Notamacropus eugenii: one gene and its partner. The protein of the gene in region 1 purifies or fractionates together with the protein of each later gene. This does not show direct contact. Links are inferred from orthologs where the notes say so. Each region holds a gene or a part of one and is shown on either strand. Other genes may lie near its edges. The genes, in order: TCTN2 and TCTN3.

The links.
Region 2: the proteins of TCTN2 (region 1) and TCTN3 purify together in Homo sapiens (affinity purification with mass spectrometry; 3 studies listed by BioGRID and IntAct, with this or other methods). This does not show direct contact. The link is inferred for Notamacropus eugenii from reciprocal best matches to the Homo sapiens genes TCTN2 and TCTN3.

The regions. Positions count from the first base shown.
Region 1 is NC_092875.1:38,953,270-38,964,943, forward strand, and holds the start of TCTN2 (tectonic-2), read left to right. Parts: upstream 1-7,256; 5' UTR 7,257-7,415; coding exon 7,416-7,512; intron 7,513-9,176; coding exon 9,177-9,284; intron 9,285-9,579; coding exon 9,580-9,656; intron 9,657-11,674.
Region 2 is NC_092872.1:212,355,645-212,367,164, forward strand, and holds the start of TCTN3 (tectonic-3), read right to left. Parts: upstream 5,128-11,520; 5' UTR 4,577-5,127; coding exon 3,984-4,576; intron 765-3,983; coding exon 646-764; intron 1-645.

The DNA of each region.
Region 1 (11,674 bases):
TCTCCCATCACGTTTCTCACGGGAAGAGGCGGAATTACTCGAGATAGCTCGGTTCACCTCGATTCCCTGCCGTTTCCTGGGGGGGTCTCGTGAGAGCTCTAAGATTTAGAAGCTCCCACCTTTACCCGCCCGAGACTGTCCACACGGAATTGAGCTTCCAATCCCAACACATCCCATATGTTCACACAGACTTGTGCATTCTGAGTTCATGTTGGTCTGATCAGCCACAGTCGGACACGCTGTACCTTGTCTCTAACGTTGTGATGTCATCTCATTTGTATGTGCTTATCTGTGTGTTGTCTCCCCCATTAGAATGTCAACTTCTTGAGCAGCGGGGACCTTTATATCCCTTGTGCTGAATGAGCACAGTGCCTGGCACATAGAATAAAAGCTTGTTAACCGACTTCTTTCAACAAATACTTGTTGAACCCTTGCTGTGTTGAAAACACTGGAGAATATCAATCCCATCAAATTAAGCTTTTTAACTTACTTTCAAAAGCTCAACAGGTTTGATTCCCAGAGAATCCTTCAGGTTGGAAGGCGTGCTAGAGATCACCTTAGGGTCAGGGCCTGTATTGGAACTTTTTAGGCTGTTCTTTCCAGAAATGAGAGTTCTAGTACTAGAGAAAGATTTCTGGTTTATCTCAGCTCCAGGAAGACATGAACCTGACTTTGCTGATTTGCAAAACTAACTTTCTTTTCATTAGGAGAGCAAATTGCCTTTTCTCCTCATTCATTTGTTGTAGTCTGGTCAATCTTTGATTCTCTAGTCTCTTCAGTGTCTAGAAGCATTTAAAAAAAATATAATTAATTGCTTATAGGAGCCTCTAGACCAGAGTTGGGGAATCTGTGGCCTCAGGTCACATATGGCCTTCTAGGTCCTCAGGTGCAGCCTTTTGACTGAGTCCAAGTTTTACACAATAAATCCTTTTATTATGGGGATTTGTTCCGTGAAGTTTGGATTCAGTCAGAGGGCCACACTTGAGGACCTAGAAGGCCACATGTGGCCTCAAGGCCATAGGTTCCCCACCCTTGCTCTAGACGGTGAAACCCATAGAAATTGGTTTTCTATCATCAGATCACCTAGCAAGCAAGATTTCCAGTTATCCCTTCCACATTGAGACCTTCCCTATCACATTTTGGATATATCGTGGATTGGCATAAGAAGTTAAATGAGAATTTTGGGGGAGTTTTGTAGAAGCTGCAGATAGCTCTCAAAGGCCAGCAGATGATACAGAAAAAGTTTAGAAATTCAGAAGTGTATAAAATAGATGTATAATATCAATCCAAATCTTACAATGAGACACAGTAAACACTCTATAAGAGAAAAAAGTTAAATTTCATCTCTAGTACAAAGGAAGGGCCAAAGAATTTTACAAGAATTTTCCAGACTGAGATGCCACTCCCCTACTCCCACAATATGGAAGGGATAATTGTGCTTTGTGGAAAACACACAGTGATAAATAATGCTGATAAGAAAGAAACTTAATCTATTTGGGAAGAGTTATTCAGTGGGGTTTCTAAGCTGCCATTGGCCAGGTATTTAAAGTTCTCTTAGCTTTGGAAGAATGATCAGTCCCTTTTCTCAGCATCTTGAAATGTGACTTTCATGTCTTCTACTACTGAAAATGCGCTTACCCACGACCTAGTCACAAAATCCGTTGGCATTTTTTAAAGTCCCTCGTTCTCTTGGATTTCTCTATGGTATTTGGTACTGCTGACAACCTTCAGCTTTGTGGATTCCCTTTTTCCTTGACTTTAGGGCCACCATCTTGATAGTTCACGCTTCTGTGCAAATTTTCTCCTCTACATCCTCACCCATCATGGAAGCATAGATGCTTCTAACCTGTACCTCCAGTCCTTTCTTAAGAAATCCAGACATGCATCTCCAGCTTCCTCGAGGGTATCTCCACTTGGATGTCCCTTCAGCATCTTAAAACTGAGCAAAATGGAGCTGCTTCTCCTTTCCCCAAAATACGTTCCTCCTCTCGATTTTACTGTTTCTGTAAGTCACATTACAATCCCCTGGACTCCCAGATTCAAAACCCTAGTAATATCTTTGAGTCTTCCTTTTTCCTCATTTCACAAATCATTTGGCCATCAAGTCCTGTTAATTCCACTGCATCCACCCATTTCTCTCTTTTCACTGGTGCTTTGTAATCAACAACTCTTTTGTTGATTAGCCACATCGGAGTCTTCCATGATCCCATTTTGGGGTTTTCTTTGCCATTTCCTTCTCCAGCTCATTTTACAGATGAGGAAACTGAGGCAAACAAGTGACTTGCTCAGGGTCACCCAGCTAGTAAGTATCTGAGACTAAATGATTTGAACTCAGATCCTCCTGACTCCAGGGTCAGCAGTCTATCCACTTCACCATGCTATTAAGGGCCTCTTATGGTATATAGCCTTCTAACAAGTCTTGTCTTCATTCTGTCTTTTCCATGATTCATCTTTCTGACTATGGCCAGATGAACCTTTCTAATCATCCTTACTATCTGCTCTGAAACCCTTAGTGGTTCTCCATTGGCTCCCATGTACATTTCAAACTCTTTTGCTTGACATTCAAGGACTTTAACAATATGGTGCCACCCTCCCTTTCTAGCCTCATCTACTATTTCTTCCCTGTGCCTGTCAGTCAAGGTAGACACTGAACCCACCCTGTGCACAGAGGAAGGAAAGCTCCCCCCCCCACACCCCTTGCAGAGTTACCTTTGCCAGGAATGCCTTTTTGCCCATCTTTTACAGCCTAACAGATCATTTCTTCCATGAAACTTTCCGGATCTCTTCAGTCAACATCTTTCCCCATTCTTTACCCATGCCCTCAACATCCTAGCATCTCACAAAGCACCTTGTTTCCTGCTTTTATAATGTAGTTGTCATACAGTATAATCATGTATCCATATGTTATAGACTCTCTACTAGGAAGAAAAGAAACACGCTTATAAAGTCCCCAGTTTGTGTCAGGCACCATACTAAGTGCTTTATAATATTTTATCTCATTTAACCATCACAGCAACCTTGGGAGGTAGGTGCTATTATGATCTCCCTATTAGAGATGAGGAAATGCAAACAGGTTAAATAACTTGCTCAGGGTCACACAACTAGTAGGTATATGAGGCTACATTTGAACGTGGGTCTTCCCAACTCCAGGCTTACCACCTCGATGCCTCTAGCTTGCTCCCTTCCTATTAGAGTACATTCCTTCAAGGCTGGAAGTATCCCTTATCTGGATTGTTTAAGCACACAGTTGTGTATTAGTTTACTGGGGCAAGAAATATAACATTAAGATAAAAACCTATTTCACTTAATTTACTGAGCAGGATAAATCTTCATCCATGAACTCCAAAATGGTTAATATTGCTTTGAGAAGGATGAGACCACGTTTCATCACCTGTTTCTGTGCCTTTGCATAGGCTTGTCCCCCAGACCTAGAATGGATTCCAATAATAAAAATAATAGCATTTATATAGCTTTAAGGTTTGTAAAGTGTGCTCTCTCTTTATTGTATGTATGTATGTATATACACATATATAGACACACACACACACGTATATATATATATATAATTTTATCCTCACCACAACCCTGATAAGTACTATTGCGACCTCTTTGTACAAATGAGCTATATAAATGCTAGTTATGATTTTGACATTACTGTTATCATTATCATGTACCCAGTAACTGAAATGCTAAGCCCATGTTTTATTTACTGTACTGAATTGTTGTAAAACTTGGGACAACTGCACTATAGGTCATGCATGCATAGCTGAAGAAGGAAGAGTGTTTAACATACGCAGATCCATTGTATAAATTAGAAAACTAATTGATCATTGAAAGACTTTACCTTTTGGGGACCAGCACGTGAAAGCTGACGTTTGTATTTACACATTTTTTGTCTCCCCTCAACAGAATGTTAAGCTACTTGAGGGCAGACACTTTCATTTTTTGTCATAGCCCCCAAACCCAGAGCACATTTGACAAACTCTGGGGTTATTAGTTACTCATTTGAGCCTCATTATAAAGCTGTGAGGTAAGAATTTTTATTCCTGGTTGACAGTTGGGGAGTCAGGCTTCTGAGAGAGTAAGTGGTATGCCCATAGTCATACAACTAACACAATTCTAGTTATTGAGCCTAGATTTTCCTGCCTCTAGCTTCAGGACTCTAGTCATGAAACACACTGTCTCATAGAGACAAATTTAAATTGTTAAAGCATTCCCCAATAGAAAAGTGGTCAAAGGATATGGAAACATATTCTTCAAACAAAGCCGTTCTCAAAAGAAGAATTACAGACTACTAGAAAGCAGATAAAAGGATGCCCCAGATCACCAATAAGAGAAATGAAAATCAAAACAACCCTGAAGTTTCATCTTCCACCCAAAGATGGATAGATGTGAATAGAAAACAACATCACTGGTGTTACAGAAGACAGGCACACTGACATTGTTGGTGGACCTGTTAATTGGCATAAACATCTTGGAAAACCATGTAGAATTATGCAAATAAAGTGACTAAAAACTATTTTCTTTGATCCTGAGATTCCACTGCTAGTCACAGACCCAAGAAAGTAAGTCATTGATGAAAAGAAAGGGTCCATACACAGCAAAATATTTCTAGCATCCCTTTTTGTTCACAGCATAGACTGGAAACAAAGTAGACACCCATTGGTGGGGACTGGTACCCGGTACATGAATATAATATGATTATTATTACATGATATAACATGTAAGGAATGACAATATGAATACGGAGAAGCATAGGAAGACATGAAAGGATGTATGTGTGATGAAATAAACAACATGAAATTCTGTAAACTGTAAAAGAGCCAGAAAACTACAACATTGTAAATGGAAAGGATAATATCCAGAAAACAATTGAGACAGAATATTGCAAAATTACAAAGAATTTTGTAATTCTTGGCTCCAAAGAGGACAGAAGAGATGACAATCTTTTCCCTTCACCCCAGCAGAGGTGGGGGTCCATGGGTTTGGAATATTGCATATAACCTCGGATTTTTTTCAATGTACCAGTTTTGCTTATTTTTCTTTTCCTTTTTTTCCTTGTCTTAAAAATTCTCCAAGGGATGGCTCTCTGGGAAAGACAAGGGGAAGGAATACAGGAGGATTCCTGGATATAGGTATATGCAAAGACTTCATTAAAAAATCTATTTAAAAAACTGCATTAGATTGTAAGCTTGAGGACAAGGATTTTCTTTTGCCTCTTTGTATCCTGTGCTTAGCACAGTTCCTGGCACATAGTAGGTGCTTAGTACATGTTGATTGATTGATTGCTAAAGGAGTTTTGAAGGGTAGCATAGAGATGGTAGAGAGAGTCAGCCTTGGAGACAGAAAGACCTTACTGGCTCCATGACTCCAGGCAACTTGCTTTGGTGCCATACAACTGTATGTGACATACAACTCCAAGTGACATACCAGTTATATGACCCTGAGTCATTTAATTTCTCAGTAGTCTAGGCAACTCTCTAAGACTATATGGGAGAGGGAATTTTGTTAGTGGGAGTTCCAATATCAGTGACATCATAGTCCAGTCCTCCCTCTAAAAGTTTTTTTTAAGATTTTGCCTCCTTCTTTGTATTTTCGAGACTTGCACCATAAACTATATTGGTCCTCTTGGGTCAGTCTTAATACCCCAATCTCTGTATCCATCTTACCCAGAGAAGAGTTTTCTGTTTCTTGAGAAAAGTGTTGGCTACTGCCTTTGATGCTGCCATCAGGTCAGAAAGATAAAGGGAGTAGAAAGGGACATTTCTGTATAAAAAAGAGGCAGGGATCCCTGGCTTGGCATCCATTGTCGATTCTAGATTTATTCCTAGGATTCCAGTCTTTCTTGGTGTTACTAAAGCCCTCCTAGCCCTGTGCAGGCTGTCACAGCTGGCTGAGCAAATGATGAGCATTGAGAGAGTACCTAGTTCCTGCTTGGTTGACTTTGGTTGGAGAATGCCCCCCCATTGGAGCTCACAGTTGCCTCAATCATAAGAGGTCAAGCCAAACACTTTTAATCCTAGAGCAATCACAGGCCAAATTCCTCTTACCAACCAATGTGTTTAGAGGGAAAAGAAAAATCTACTCTGGGTGGGTGTCACCCAGATTTATAGGAATTCCTCCTTTTGTTGGGTTTTGACTGTAACTTAGCTCTCGAGTTTTGACCATGTCCAAGAATGAGGGGCTCCTTATGAGAGAGTAAAGAGAGTGGTGGGGATGGGTGGAGCCAAACATGGCTACCCATAACTTGTCTTAAAGACTGTATCTCCCAATGCCTCCTCTAACCGAATGAAGCAACAGTTGGGCAAAGAAGAGTTACATTCTGATGTAATAACTAAGACATGTCATGCCTTTGGCTAATATTGAAAGAAATGAGCAGCTCCCAACCTAAGGCCTTACATAATCATAATTTACAGCTCATAGGGGTTTATTGATAAATTCTTATATCTGAAGCACTTAGCGCAATTAAGCACATAGTAGGTGCTTAACAAATACATATTGACTTGCCTAAATACAAGGCATTATTAGGCTCTGTATTGTAATAAGTGGCATAGAGGAAAAAGAACTGGTCTTCGAGCTGGGTTCAAAACCTGCCAATGACATGTGCAGACTGTATAACCCTGACCAAGTCATTTAACTTCTCTGTATTCTAAGCAACTCAACAAGACTATACATTGTGGAGAAGTAGCGAGGGATCTCCTCACCTGGGACTTCTCTCTATCAATAAAATCACAGGTTCATTATCCTTTATTATAATAAAAAGTCAGCTGAATTGTTGACTATGGAGACAAGAACCTGTTAAGCACCAGGGATTCTGAGAGAGGGAGTAAGCATTTATACAACTTTTTTTACAGTTTTTTTCAAACGCGTGCGTTGTTGCAAGTCGTTATCTTTTTATCTCATCTTTACGAATATCTCATTTTTATTATTTTTACTTGTTTATATTTGTTATACGTTGTCATATATATCATATACATACATATGAATAGATATTTATTCTATATAAATATACATATAAATCATATGTGACATATCAATATAGTTTAAAATATAACTATATATAGAAGACACATAAGTATGCATATTTGCCAAGAGCTCCGTCCACCAAGCTCCTATGCAACCCACTTAGGGCTTCCCAGGAGGAGGTGGGCGGGGCCGCGAGGTGACGCTAATGGGCGGGGAAGGAAGGCGGGTCCTTTCCGTCGCTTTAGACCAATCGTGGGGCGCGCTCTCTTCGCTTGCAGCTGATTGGCGGTTGCCTAGTCCTGGGCATTCCGTTGACAAGATGGCAGCGGCGGCTGGCCGGGCGCGGCTGACGCCTTTTCCTTTGCGCCCCTAGCTCGTGCCGCCTGCCGGGGATCGCAGAGCCAGGCCCTGGCATCGGTGGGGCAGCGCGGGGAGGCGAGCCGGGAGCCATGGGCCCGGCCGGGCCCTGCCCGCCATCGGCCCCGCAGCTTTGGCTCTTGCTCCTGTTCCCTCTCTGCTTCCCAAGGGCCCTGTGGGGAGACGTTGGTGGGTAGGGGCGGAGCTTCGGGCAGGGGGCGGGGCCTGTGCTATGGGCGGGCTGTGGGCGGGGCTGTGGGCGGGGCTGTGGGCGGGGGAGGGGGCGCTCGAATCCCTACTCAGACCAGCTCTGTGCTGTGTGACCCTGGGCAAGTCACTTCGCCCTCTTTGCCTCAGTTTCCCCATCTGTAAAATGAGCTAGAGAGGAAATGGCAGCCCGTTCCAGTATTTCTGCCAAGAAAACATGGGGTCACAAAGAGTTGGATATAACTGAAAATGTCTCAACAACAGTTATTTTAAGAGATATTTTTAAAGCTCTTTGCAATACCTTAAAGTTCTATAAAAATGTTAGCTATTATTAAAATGAGATATCTTAACACATTTTACGAACTTTAAGACGTTGTATAAATGCTAGCTGTTATTATTCTTTAGAGATAATATTTGTAGAGCGTTTTGCCAACCTATAGAACTGCTCACTATATATTGCTAGCTCTTACTAATGATAATAAGGATTATTAACCTGGAGGGATTATTTGTAAAGTGCTTTGCAAACCTTAAAGCACTGCACGTAGGCCAGGTATCATTATTATTAAAATGAGGTAACATAAAAAGTGCTAAATAACTGCTAACTTTCGAACTAGGCTTTTGTAGCAGCTACCACAGCTGCACCTGCTGAAGCCTTTTTTAGTTTTGGAATAAGAGTGCCTGGGTGACTGACTGTCCGTACCAGGCAATGGGCAACCTCATGTCCCGAGAGTGAGCCATACGGAGTCTGGTGAAAAGAATGCCAGCTCAGAGCAGGGGTTTTAACCACCTCTCTGCCCCAGACTTCTTTGGCACAACCATGTTTTTAAATGCATGGAATAAGATACGTAGGATTGCAAAGGAAACTAATTATATTGAAATAATTACCAATCTATTAAAGAGGCCAATTCACAGAGTCCAAGTAAAGAATCACTGCTCTAGAGTCTCAAGGACCCAGGTCCACATCCACCTGCGATGTTGTTCCCTCTATGAGTCTGGGCAAATCATTTAACTTCCCTGGGCCTCGGGTTTCCTCCACTCTTGATTGAGGAGGCTGGATTAGATAGCTCCTACTGTCCATTCCAGCTCCAGATCTAGGATTCCCTGAAGATATGTGTTCAAATCCTGCTCACACATTTCCTGGCTATGGGATCCTGAGGAGATCCTTGTAGCTTGCAGAGACTAGATGTGGGAAAGGGAGTAAAGTCCCAGGACTAGGCTATTCCCAGCAAGGGGCCACCTCTGCTGCCAGCATTGGAGCAAAGGAAAATCGCCACAACCTACAGTGACCGTCCCCCAGTGCCTGCCTCCTGGGACTCCCCTCTGAGATTCCTTCTCATCTGTTCATCTGTATCTTATATGGTAGAGTAGTTTGCTCTTGTTTTACCCATTAGATTGAGCTCCTTGAGGTCAGGCACTGTTTTTTGCCTTTCTTTGTATCCCCCCCTCCTCTCAGTCCAGTCCCTGGCCCACAATAGGCGCTTAATAAATGTTTGTTATTTATTGACCCTAACCCTGCAGTCCTGCATGCACATGCTTAGGAGGGGTTGCTTGATTCTCATGTTCCATAAAGCTCTAAGTCTCATTTTCAGGGGTTCCTCATGGTCCTTACATGAGTGGTATTAACGCCTGACTCTTCTCTTTGCCAGTTTTTCTCCCTCCTTTCATTCGAATGTTTGATACTTCGGTTAGTGCAGCCTTGGTTGGAGATACTGAGGATGTCAGTGTGAGCCTCGCTGTGTGGGATGGTGAGCTGGGTAAGGAGGCTAAGCAGCTGGCTTTGGGAAAACCTACTGAAAACACAGAGGGCTTCGGGCCCAGTCTGCCCTTGGGGGAAGGGGAATACTCCCTCAGCCTTTGGCTCTCCAAGGTCTGATCCTGTGACTTCCAGAATTGGCAGTCTGGAGAATGGGCAAAGGGGAAGGGGGCTGCTTTCTGCTTCAGAGACAGCTGCAAGGCAAGGTTATGCTCTCTGAGGAGAACGTCCTTAAACCTTCTGAGGGCGTAAAGGTAGAATGAGAACATTCTCTGGTCTTACCTCCTCTTGTTTAGGGATTTTGCCCATTCCTGATTGTGGACTGCAGAATAATGGGACCAGTAACTGGAGTCTGACCGTGACTCCCGATATGGTATGTTCAATGTTAAATCTCTTCGTTTTCTATTTGTTATTCGATTGTTTCAGTTGTTTCAGACTCTCTGTGGGTTTTCGTGGCAGAGATACTGGAGTACTTTACCATTTCCTTCTCCAGCTCATTTGACAGCTGAGGATACTGAGGCAAACAGGGTGAAGGGACTGGTCCAGCTAGGCTGTGTCTGAGGTGACTTCAGGATGGAGCTCTATCCAGTGCACCACCTGCCGCCCTTCGTTTTCCATTTAGGGTCATATCTGTCACCCCCTCCTCAGCAAGCTCCAAGGCTCCCTGTTGCCTCTGGGATAAACTCCAGACTCCTCTGCTACCTTTGTGCTCTGGCTTATTGTCCCTGACTTCTCTTTACTTACTCTGCTTTGCTCCAGCCTGGCCTCCTTCCTCTTCTCAGCTAAGACATGAGCCCCCGACCTGGAAAGTGCTCCTACCTCCCCTCCCTCTCCCAGGTTCCTTAGCTTCCTTTAGGCAGAGCCCAAGTACCACCTCCTCAGTGGAGCCCTCCAGCAAGTTCCTACCATCCAGCTCCTCCCCAGATTACTCTGCATTTACTTTGTGCTTGGCTTTTACTTTCTGATCTCCTCCTTACCCCCAGTAGATTGCAGCCTCCCTAAGGGCAAGAAATGTTTCCCAGCCTCGGTACCTGGTGCTTTGTTGCTAGTTAATGTTTGTTGAGTGAAAAGACTCACTAGTTCAGTTAAAATGGGTGTTACAAGTCAGGCTTCTCTAGAGCCTCTCATTCAGCCTTCTTCAGATGAGCCTGGAATACATGTTCTACAGGGATTAGTATCCCCATTTTGCAGACAAAGCAGCTGAGGTTCAAAAAAATTGAGGGATTGTCTTTTAGTCCCAGTCAGTGAATGTCTGAGGTAGAATTTGAACCCAGGACTCTCCAAGATACCAAGCTGTTGTGACAGACTGTTGCTTGTTCATTCTTCATGGAGATCTCAGTTTTGTTCTTCTTTTATTGTCTCCTTCTAGGATCTGGCCATGGGTGGGAAGTGGGTACAAGAGGGAGAATGGTGAACTTGAACTCGCAAGACCTGAGTTTGAATCACTCCCTGTGTGACCTTCCACAAGTCCCTTTCCCCCTTCCTGGGACTCAGTGTCCTCTGTAAAATGAGGGGATTGATCTCTGTGGATAGCCTCTGAAGGTCCTTCCAGACCTAGATCTGTGGTCCTGGGACAGTGAGGTTTGCTGTGAAGATCCAGGTGTCATGGAAGGAGGGCTAAATGCGAGGCCAGACATGGCATATGCCATTGTGGCACAGTGGGGAGAATGTAGACCTGTCATCTGGCACAGGTCTCAGTTCCAGGAGTCAGTATCTAAGTGACTGGGAGCCTTTTTCCTCCCTTTGAAAATGGGGATAATCCTGGTGCTGCCCACTCTTGCCAAAATTACCTGTGTGACCTTGGGCAAGTCATGTCACTGCTTGGAGCCTTAGCTTCCTTATCTGTAAAACAGGTGGGTTGAGTTAGATGATCAATCCCTAGAGTCCCTTCTAGGATAAAGGCCTGTGCTGTCAGTTATAGAATTTTAAAGCTATAAAAGAGTTTGAGATCCTCAGCTCTTCCCACTTCATTTCTGGCCTAAGCCCAGGACAATGAAGATGTGGAGTACTGGGAGAGGTGGTGGGGAGGTGGGTCTGTGAGGTACCTCGCTTTGGGCATTGGCCCATGATGGCTTCATCTTGAGGATTTCAGCATGGCCAAGTGTAGAGGACGGCTGGGCATGAAGTCAGGGAGGTCCTAGGGTCATGTGGACCATCAGATTGAGGGCTGGAAGGGACCTCTGACACCAGTAAGTCCCACTTTCCCATTTTTCAGATGAAGGAACTGAGACCCAGGGACGTTACCAAAGGGCAGGACTTGAGTCTTAGCTTTGGTGCTTAGTGTCTGGGTGATTTGAAGCCTCTTTCCTTATCTCTAAAAATGGGGATAGTTATGTATAAACTAAGATTGCCTGGGGTCCTAGGAAAGTCACTGACCAGAGTGTTAGAGGC
Region 2 (11,520 bases), on another chromosome or scaffold:
GTAGCACAGTATTTAATAAACCCAAGTTTCAAACAACTGATGGAAGGGCTCCCCATTCAACAGGGAACTAAACAGGGTGTTAAAGATAAGGTATCAGCAAAACTTCTAAAACTTCACTCCTTTCTGCCAAAATCTACTGATCTTGAACGTGTAAAATAGATATGTAAGTACTGCTGTACTTTTGCTTTGTTGAGAAATTTCATAAGTTCTGTTAATTTTGTATACTGTATTTTAAAATTATGACAGTATACTGCAAAGACAAATGCATGGTCTAACTGTAACATTTACATGCAATAAATAAATACAACATTGTCTCAGATTCAGTTACACAATCATTTCATTTTTGCACAGATCTTCTTGTGGTTATATAGCTAATGGAAGATTCATTAAAACAGTTAAATGTGCCTCCAGCGTCAGTTAAAGATCTTAAAAGTTTTAAACTATTTATCAAGACTCTTGACGCATGGGAAATAAATGTTGGGGCAGGAGAAGAAGAGAGAGAAGATAAAAGGTTAGTTTGCTGAGAAAAAGGGTGGATAATACAGAGAATTTTTTTTTTAAACAGGAAGCAATCCAAAAGTCAGTCAGAAATAATTCCAGCACCCATATGCGTTACAAAGTAAGAAGAGAATGTTTTCAACTCACGGTTTCTCAGCTGAACACAAAATTGTTGACCCTCATCTGGCATCTCCAAAATACTTGAATAAAATGGGGCATTGCTTTGGAAAATAACGGTAGAGTCTACACATTTCCATTCTATTGCCCTGCGAAGACATAAAAGAGTGTGAAACTTTAAAGTAGATTATTCCACTTCAAGGCAGTAATCTTCATAACTAAGAGGAAAACTGTATTCTAAGTATCTGTACAGAATTCTAAAATTTCAAAGCAAACACATCTAACAAGATAAAAATAGCACAAATCTCATGTTTAAATTAATTTTCAAACACACTGCTTTAGTACCTTTTATCTTCTGATGCTGGGAATATAAAGGTAAAAAACATAGCTGTGCTTACAATCTATTAGACAAGTTGGGAAAAGAGCTGACGTAAACAAGTATGAGATAGAAGGTGGAATATAATAGAGCAAGACTCAGATGAAAAATTTGAGGCATCACTGTCAGCTGGGAGGACATTACACAGATCACTGACTAAATAAATTGTGGTGCATGAATGTAATGCAGTATAACTGTACTGTAAAAAATGATAAATAAGAGAAGCATTGTAACATTTAGAGGATGCAGAATGACCTTTGCAGAGCCAGGAAAATAATACATACAATAATTACAACAATGTAAGTGTGAGAAGTACATCCTCAGAACATTCCCAAGTCTTACATGAAGCATGAACAAGGAAGGCTGGGTGAACGATGGTACCACAGTTAGAATCATAATGAAGTCAGGTAACATTCACACATTTGGATGAATGTAGGCCAAGGGAAATGTGAGCCTAGATCTCAGAAAAGATAAATATTTGGGAATCATCCTCATAAAGGTGGCAGTTGAAGCCATGGAACCGAATGAGATGCCAAGGGAGAGGGTGAAAAGAGATAAGAGAAGACCATGATAACAACCTTGGGATGTAGCCAAGATGGAAAGAAGACAGGAATCAACAAAGGAGACATAGAAAGTCATTTGAGAGGCAGGAGAACCCTAAGAGCATGATGTGTCAGTGTCCCAGGTCCATCACTTTGCTATCATCCTGGACTCCTTACTCAACTCCACCCCACATACCTAATCAGTGGCCAAATCTGATTATTTCTACCCTCTCAACATCCCAACACTTTAGTTCAGGTGCTCATTGCCTCCCCTAGATAATGGCAAGGTCTCCTAAATGGTCTTCTAGTACTCTGCTGCCAAAGTGATTTCCTTAGCCCCAAGTATCACCAACCACCTGACTCACCTACTCACCAACTCCAATGGCTTCCAATTGCCTCTACAATATAATATAAACTCTTCAGTCTTTTTAAAGACTTACACAATCTGGCTCCAACCTACCTTTTAAGTCTCAGTGGCTATAACTTCCCTTCTTACACGCCCACTCTCTGCTCCTCACTCACACTTTGGGTCTGGAATGTTCTCCCTTTCTACCTCCCTCCACCAGTCTTTCTCTTCCTTTAAAATATAACTGTGGCACCATCTGCATAAAGCCTTTCTTCCTGATATCTCCAACTTCTACACTCCTTTGTATTAAATTACTTTGCCTATACACACACACATTTATTTATGCTGTATATATTTTTACGTGAACTTACCTCTCCCATTAAAAAGGAAACATCTTATGACTAGGGACTGTTTAACTTTTTGCGCTAATGTACACAGTACAGAGTAGGTGCTTAATATTTATTGAGTGATGCATGTCTAAAACCAAGGGAGGAAAGATCTTCCAATAGCAAGGGATGGTCGGAATAAGACATGAAAAACAATCACTGTATATGGCAACGTGGTGATCTCTAAGAGAACAGCTTCAACAGCACGGGGGCAGAAGTGAAGACCATAAAGGCATGAGGAAAAGGAGAGGTGGCGAGAAAACAGAGCCACGTCAGGAAGCTTTAACCAGAGGCCCTCTGGTGCCTCATTTCGGAGGCGGGACGGCTGACCATGCCAGGCGCGGTGGGTAGGGCTTCCAGCTCCAACTCACACAGGTGGCGGGGCTGCTTCCCGGCAGCAGGTCTGTCTACACACGCGTCCTCAAAGCACCGGCCATCAGGACCACGCCGGCAAGTGAAGCCGCGGCGGATCAGTACTCCCTGTGACCCGGCTCTGTTCATCACCTACGTGGGCCAGGCCCAGCGCTGGGCGCCCGGGTCGGGCCTCCTTCGCCCCTCTTGGCGGACTCCGAGGCGGCGCGGCGCCCGCACGCTCCCCGCTAGCCCCCGCACGCTCCCCCCTAGCCCCCGCACGCTCCCCCGTAGCTCCCCGCACGCTCCCCCCCGGCGCCCGCACGCTCCCCCCCGGCCCCCGCACGCTCCCCCCCGGCGCCCGCACGCTCCCCCTGGCCCCCGCACGCTCCCCCCTGGCCCCCGCACGCTCCCCCCAGCTCCCCGCACGCTCCCCCGTAGCCCCCGCACGCTCCCCCGTAGCTCCCCGCACGCTCCCCCCTAGTTCCCCGTAGCTCCCCGCACGCTCCCCCGTAGCCCCCGCACGCTCCCCCCAGCTCCCCCGTAGCCCCCGCACGCTCCCCCGTAGCTCCCCGCACGCTCCCCCCTAGTTCCCCGTAGCTCCCCGCACGCTCCCCCGTAGCCCCCGCACGCTCCCCCCAGCTCCCCGCACGCTCCCCCGTAGCCCCCACACGCTCCCCCCTAGCCCCCGCACGCTCCCCCCTGGCGCCCGCACGCTCCCCCCTGGCCCCCGCACGCTCCCCCCTAGCCCCCGCACGCTCCCCCGTAGCTCCCCGCACGCTCCCCCCTAGCCCCCGCACGCTCCCCCGTAGCTCCCCGCACGCTCCCCCCTAGCCCCCGCACGCTCCCCCCTAGTTCCCCGTAGCTCCCCGCACGCTCCCCCCTAGCCCCCGCACGCTCCCCCGTAGCTCCCCGCACGCTCCCCGCACGCTCCCCCCTAGCCCCCGCACGCTCCCCCCAGCTCCCCGCACGCTCCCCCCTAGCCCCCGCACGCTCCCCCCTAGTTCCCCGTAGCTCCCCGCACGCTCCCCCCTAGCCCCCGCACGCTCCCCCCAGCTCCCCGCACGCTCCCCCGTAGCCCCCGCACGCTCCCCCCTAGCCCCCGCACGCTCCCCCCAGCTCCCCGCACGCTCCCCCGTAGCCCCCGCACGCTCCCCCGTAGCTCCCCGCACGCTCCCCCGTAGCTCCCCGCACGCTCCCCCCTAGCCCCCGCACGCTCCCCCGTAGCCCCCGCACGCTCCCCCCTGGCGCCCGCACGCTCCCCCCTGGCCCCCGCACGCTCCCCCCTAGCCCCCGCACGCTCCCCCCTAGCCCCCGCACGCTCCCCCTAGCCCCCGCACGCTCCCCCGTAGCCCCCGCACGCTCACCGGTAGCTCCCCGGGAGGCAGAAGGAGAACAGCGTCTTGGGCCCGCTCACGTAGCACTCCCGGTCACAGCAGCAGTTCACATCGCACGAGGTCGGCGTCAGGTCACACGTACAGACCCCGGCCAGGCGGAACTGAGACCAGAGCTGGTGCCCATCTTCCACAGCTTCCGTGGCGAAAGGGTCCGGGGTCAAGTCCAGGAACTCGGGGTAAATCCCCGGCGTCGTCTCCTCCAGGAAAACCTCCAGCGTCGTCTCCGGGAGAAGCCCCGGCGTCGTCTCCTCCAGGAGGACCCCCGGCGTCGTCTCCTCCACGAGAAGCCCCGGCGTCATGGCGTCGGGAGGCTCTATTCCCGCCGTGGAGACAGCTCCTCCGCGGGGCGGGAGTTCAGTCTGGGCCCTGGCGCCCCCCGCCAGGAGGAAGCAGGGGAGCACCAGCAGCTCGAGGGGCGCCGGGGCCATGAAGCGTCTGCGGCCCCCAAGCCCTCCACAGCCCCGAGAACTGAAGGGCCCGCCGTCGCCTGGCGCGTGGTTGCTATGGCACCGGCGGGGGGCGGGGCTTGAGGAGGGCGGGAGACGCAGTACGTGTGACCTCATCCCGTAGACGCTCGCTTATTCGAGATTTGGGATTATTGGCAGAGCACTCACCAATAGAAATCGCGGTGGTTGCGCGCCGCGATTTTGCTCTGGCAACGTTCGGGTTACTGAGTTCTCGGAGAGCCGGTGCAGTTACGCAGCCCTTCCGCTAGATGGGCCTGTGCGGCCGGTCAGTGAGACTGCGATGCTGACTGGAATACCTTCCATTAGAAAGCTGCAGTGCCCCCTGGCGTTTAGGAGGAGGAGGAGCGACTTCCAGGAGAAAGGGACCCGCCTGAGCTAGAGCGTTGACTTTTTAGAGCCATAAACTTAGGAGGGGAGGAAGGAAGAAAAACCAAATTGATGGTCACAGACATCTGTAAGAGAAGTGAGTGGAAAGTTCCACTTTTTAAAAAAATGAGAAATCTGTCCATAAGCTTTTATTAAGCACCTGCTGCTTACCAGGTAGTGTGCTGGACACCGAGGATACAAATGTATTGGGAAGCTTGGGTTTCCCAGGAATGGGCTGATGAGGTCAACTTGCTCCAGCAGCCTGAAGAAGGTCACTGTGGATACTGAAGGTGCCAAGGACATTCCCTGCATCCCAGGCTGGTACTGGTCTTGCCACTGGACTGAGAGAATGAGGCTGAAGACATCTGGGCATCTTGGTTTCACTTCAGTCCAGTTTGCTCAAAAGTCAATCATCCCATGGAAAAAAGGGCCACCCCCATAACCACATTCCACAGGAAAAATCTTTAAAAAATCCAGCTCTCCAGCTGCTAAAATTAAAACATAAGCGTCCACTCAATAAATAAAGGGTGTCAGTTGAAACCATCAGTTCCATAGCTGGCTGGTTAAAAGAAAAGAGAAGAAGAAAAGATGGAAAGAAGAGGAGGGACAGGTACTTTTGGGTGAGAAAAGTGGTTGGATGCAAGGAAAGAATTGAGAGGTAAGTAGGAAAATAAAGAGGGAGAAGGAGAGGTAAAAAGACAGTCATCTTTTAACTACCCAGGTTCCCCTCTCTGCAGCCCTCTGCACTCTTCACCTAAGCGGATTGCAATATCTTCTACTTGCTGGTCCAACTAAACCTACCCCAATCCCAACCTGATGAGCCTTTATCCAAACTTCTACCTTCCCTCCAACAATTAGAACTCTCTAAATGAAGACTAGGGAGCAATAAACTTGTCACCAGTAGGTCTTCAAATTTAGACTGGATGACTAGTGGGAAAGTGTTGTACAGGAGATCCATGATGTGGGTACCATTTTAGAAGAGATGGTCTCTGAGATTCCTTCCACTCTGAGTCCTGTAGCTCTTATAGTATGTATATCTACTTAGGATCCACTAAAACTTAACTGAGAGAATCTTTCCAGAGTAAGTCACTTAGGCAATTGGGAACTTTCAGATGTGGGCACAAGTGTATTTGTTGACTATAAATGTTCCATATAAATGTCAGTTATTATTATTAATCCTAATGATAGAGGCCAGGATTAATGGATGCCTAATTTTAGAAAACTAGTCACTGGTCAAATGAATTAGGTTGGGAGAGTTACCCACTTCTGTCTTGCATAATTAGGTCTAATCTCTTCAAGGCAGCAATATAGATACTATTAGATGTGATTAATTGTCTGTACTAGAAAAACACTTTCTTACCGATCACTCTCTTCTCTGCCCTTTGCAATCTATCTTCCATTTTCTCTATACTTTTAAAACTAGATCACTAATGACTTCCTAGTCACTGAACCCAATGTCCTTTTTTATCACAATTCAACTTCCTTGACCTCTCTGCAGCATTTGATATTGTGAACCAGTTCTTACTACTGTACCCTCTCCTCCCTTGATTTCAGAAACGCCACATTCTCTGAATTTTCCTACTTGTAACTGCTTACAATAGTACCAGTAGTCTCAGGTTGTGCCTCCAGCTTCAGGATGATAGACTTGCCTCTCTCTTTTCAAGAAGGCTGTATTCTAGTGTTTAAATGGAATTTCTCTTCCTTTCATGGCACTAAATCTAAGAACTAAACATTGAGCAGGATTTGAACAATAAAACATGAAACATGTAAAGCTATTTTCTCTTAGGGTTTTCTTCCTTCTTCAGATAATTACCTAGTAGACTACAATTTTGAAATCAGATATATGGTCTCTATGCTTCCAAAATTTCCAAGATGCATCAGAACACATCTGTAAGAGAAGTGTTTTATCACTATTATCATTGCTCCATTCAGCAGCCAGAAAGTTTATCCTCATAGTAGGCATGTGGAAACCATGGGGGAAGGGTACCATATGTAGTAGGATTTGGAAGTGAACAAAAATAAACTTTACCTTCCTGTGTCTTACTTGGTCTTAATCTATATTAGCATATTCATTTTCAGTGGAACTTAGGTCATGGTCATCACCACCATATTCTCCCTACAAAATAAAGGGAAACAATCACAGACATACTATCTGAATAATCAACTCCATTTGATAAATATTGCTGATCAAAAGAACCAAAAACATATTATTAAAACAATGCAAAACATCTAATGCAAAGTTAATGATCACCTGGTAAGTTGCAATTTTTTTTAAAAAATGGATCCAAATCGTCCTAGTATTTCAATGAGAGAATTAAAAGCTCCATAATCCTTCTGGAATTCTCAGTTTTGGGACTTCTAGTGAAAATAGCTATGTTAGCAATGCATTGAAGGCTATAGAAGACATCTGCAGATAAAACAATGCAAACAGGACTGGCTTGATGATATTTACCAAAACAAGGTTGAAAAGCAGGTCGTACTCTACATGGAGCCTGTCACATAGTAAGTGTGAAATAAATGCTTGTTGTCCTGACTTGAAAAACAAACATGCAGTGTTAGCATATAAGTGATGTATCAGAGCATATTGACTAAGAAGCATTTCAAGCATGTGGTAGAAATAAAAGTGGAAATGACATTGAACTGAACATATCATCATAAAAACAGAGTTATATGTAGCACTGGAGAGCATGTATGAAGTAGTCCACAATATCATAGCACAATAACCTGTAATGCTGAGACAAGGTTGTAACTAGCAATTTTGTCACTCAGGGCAAGTTGCGTGAAGCACACCCTTCAATTAAGCTTTTGTAAAGAGGGTTGTCTGGATGTATCTACACTGGAGCCAGGATAGTATTATGCCTTTTAAAAAATTTCATTTAAGGGGGTATGGTGGAATAGGGCAACATGATGAATTGCCACAATGAGTTGCTGCATGGGAAAGTTATGTTGGGGAGCAGGGAAGTTTTAGATTAAGGAATATAGTAGTAAAGAGGAAAATAGGTAGCTTCTCAATTGTTCTTGCTAATTAGGTGCTAAATATATTTGTTTTTATGCTCCCAAAGAAGTCCAAATGTTATTGCACACCCTAAAAATTTCAGTGCCCTGGAGTAAATCTATGATCACCTTGCCTTGGTTCTATACTGAGGAAATATGTGTCTTAAATGAGAGGATAGTTGTATGTGTTAGAGTTAGTTGTGGTTTCTAAACTGCCAGAACAGACAGAGACATTATAGAAATCCACTTCAGCCCTTTCATTTTTATTTTGAAAAATTATAAAACATTTTTTCTACTCACCTTCCTCCTCCCCCTAAGAAAAAAGGAAAAAAAAACCCATAAAAATATGCATAGTCAAGCAAAACACATTTTCATATTGTCCATGTCCAAAAAATGTGTCTCATTCTATATATTTAGTCTGTCATCTCTCTAATCTAGTATTCTTCATTAGTGATTCTCTTGAATCATGACTGGTCATTGAGTTAATCAACGTTCTTTCAAAATTGTTCATTTTTACATTGTTGTTGTTATAGTGAAGGTTGCTCTCCTGGTTCTACTCACTTCACTCTGCATTAGTTCATCCAGTTCTTCTGAGATTTCTCTGAAAAGTCTCGTCATTTCTCACAACACGATATTCCATTACATTGATATGAAATAATTCGTTCAGCCATTGTCCAGCTGACAAATGCCCTTGGATTTTCAAATCCTTTGCCACTATAAAAGGAATTGTTATAAATATTTTTGTACTTATGAGATCTTTTCTATTCTCTTTGATTTCTTTGTCAAGCCTTTTCATTTTACAGATAAAGAAACAGCATTCCATAGAAGTGAAGTGAATTGCTCAAGATCATTTAGAGAAATAGTGACTAGACTTGGGGTTAAACCCAAGTCTCTTCCTGCTTTTTGTTGTTGTGTTCGTCCTTCATTGCTGAAGAAGACCATACCATCAGAGATATGATGACATGACTTGCAGTTGACTTTGATTTGAATGACAGAGGGCTATGTAAGGTCACCAGCCTTACTTTCTCCTCCTGACACATCTGAATCCAGTGACCAGATATTCATCAAGATGACTGGAGAAGGCCCAGGATGCAATGGGAGACCTTGTCCCCTTTAGGCCAAGGCCTATTAGGTACTCACTTAGGGTGAGGTAATGCCCATTCATTGAATAGGCCTGGAGACTGATGGACCCTTATGAAAGGAAGCCCTCCTCCAAGGGAAGCCCAAAGGCACTTTCTCACTCAGGGACTCTGAGCAACAGGACTATGTCTTCCTTTTATAGAACCAATGCCTACACACATGCAACAAGCAGTGGGAGTACAATTTTAGCTTCAATGTCCCTGATCCCTGAGTGTTTCATTCCACCGTAACAGGGCTTCTAGAACATTATGAAGTTCCAAGTTGTTGCATGTTTTTTGAATTCTTGCTTACTAGATCACTAAATAGGACTTTTCTTACAGTGTACATGCCATATGGAAATCTGTAGGTGCACTACATAAGATGGGACTGATGGTCTCCCGTTACCATCAATGTTAAAAGATTTTTTAAAGGAGTATCACCTATAAACAAAAAGTTAGGGTGTGCTGGTTAGAGGGAGAACCAACAAAGGCAAAGTAAATTCCATTCAGTGCCCCAAAAGGCTTTGATTAGAATTGGTTTTATGTGCATCAAACAGTGCACCAGCACATGTACCAGTAGTAGGCTTTTTGCAATATTGTACTTAGTCTTAATTTTAGTATCTGTCAGATGCTATTTGCTGTTATTTATGCAAGTAACTGTAGTGCCTATGGAAATAATTAGTAGAGGACAAAGTTGCACATGTTAAATAAGGCCTACCCATACACAAATACACATTTGCTGATTTTTCTAAATATTTGGTTTTTAACCAGTTCTAAGCAAATGAAGCAATTTGGGGGCATTTGCTATGATGGTCTATTTTCTACTGAATAACAAATGATTAATGTTGGGTGAGCATTTCAACAGTGTGACTAATACTTGAAATAAATATTTTTTTCTAGGAATTTTTTTCTATCATTTCTGCTATATCACACATACTGCATGAACTTCTGGCTTTTAGAGCAACATTTGTAGCTGAAAGCATCTGATTAGTTAAGTAAGGCCTCTAGCTCTTCAATGCGACTTTCTGATATTAACATAAAAATCAACAATATTAGACATGATCATATATATGTATATGTTAATCTTATTAATAAAGCTGATGATAATATTGCTCACTGGAGCACTGGTACTGAATGAAAAGATATTTTTCTATTTATGACCATCTTTGGATACGCTTTACTCTGGGTAAAAGGTCAGGGTAGATTACAAAATTGAAGTTCACTGAAATCTTGGGATTCTCATAATCATTCTTGTGCTCATTGCCAGAAATTAACTTTTGAGCTATAGGGGTCCTCAAAATGCATAGTTTCTGCAGTAGGCAGTTTATTCCATGGATACTGTCACTGAAGAATAGTTTCTGATGTACTTTAAGCCTGGCTAAGTTAGGAGATGTTGGCAGTATTGAAGTAATACAAATGGCAAAATATGATAATATTAAGTGACCCATAGCAATGTTCTATAATATCATCTGAATTTGTCTATGAGAACATCCGGGGGGGGGAGGGCGGAGCCAAGATGGTGGACTAGAAAGACACACTTACGCAGGGTCTCCCCACACAGCTCACAAAATACCTGTAGAGAGGGACTCTCAACAAATTCTGGAGCAGCAGAAGTGGAGAACAACAGAGTGGAGGAGATTTCCAGCCCAGGGTGACCTGAAAGGCCCATGGGAAACATTGGTTCCACCAGACCCAGAGCAGAGCCCAGCCCAGCGTTGGCTGCATGTGACCTGGCACAACAAGACCCTGGGAGGAGGACACCTCGGGGGCGGAATCTCCAGTCGCAGCAGTGGGTCCTCAGATCCCTCAACCCACAGGCGCCAAAGGTCAGTGATGGGGTTTTTCAGCTGGCCAGGAAGGGAGAAGGGCCTTCCCATAGCTCCAGCAGCAGGCAGCAGCCACAGAGGCTGCACAGCAGCCTGTAGACCACCCCATTGTTGGAGCATAAAACCCCCTGGGGGCACTGAAGAGCTGAGTCTTACCTCAGCCCTGGGTGGAAGCCCTGGGAGAGCTGGTCTTTGTCTCACACTGAATAGGGGCCCTGCCCATCCAACTTATCTGAAAATCAGACCCCAGTGCTGACTTGGTGGAACTGGAGGCCAGGAGGCTGTGGAGAGGTAGCTGCTAAGATTCTGGGCACAAAAATCCCTCTCTGCATCCGGACCAGTACACGCTTGATCATGCCACTTTGGAGGAACTGAGATCTCACAGATTCCCAGAGTATAACCTACTCTTGACAAAGGATCCAAAAATCAAGTAACTGGTTGGGAAAATGCCCAAAAAAGGGGAAAAAAAAATAAGACCATAGAAGGTTACTTTCTTGGTGAACAGATATCTCCTCCCATCCTTTCAGATGAGGAAGAACAATGCTTACCATCAGGGAAAGACATAAAACTCAAGGCCTCTGTATCCCAAACATCCAAAATAAATATTCAATGGTCTCAGGCCATGGAAGAGCTCAAAAAGGATATTGAAAATCAAATAAGAGAGGTGGAGGAAAAACTGGGAAGAGAAATGAGAGAGATGCAAGAAAAGCATGAAAAGCAGGTCAACTCCTTGGAG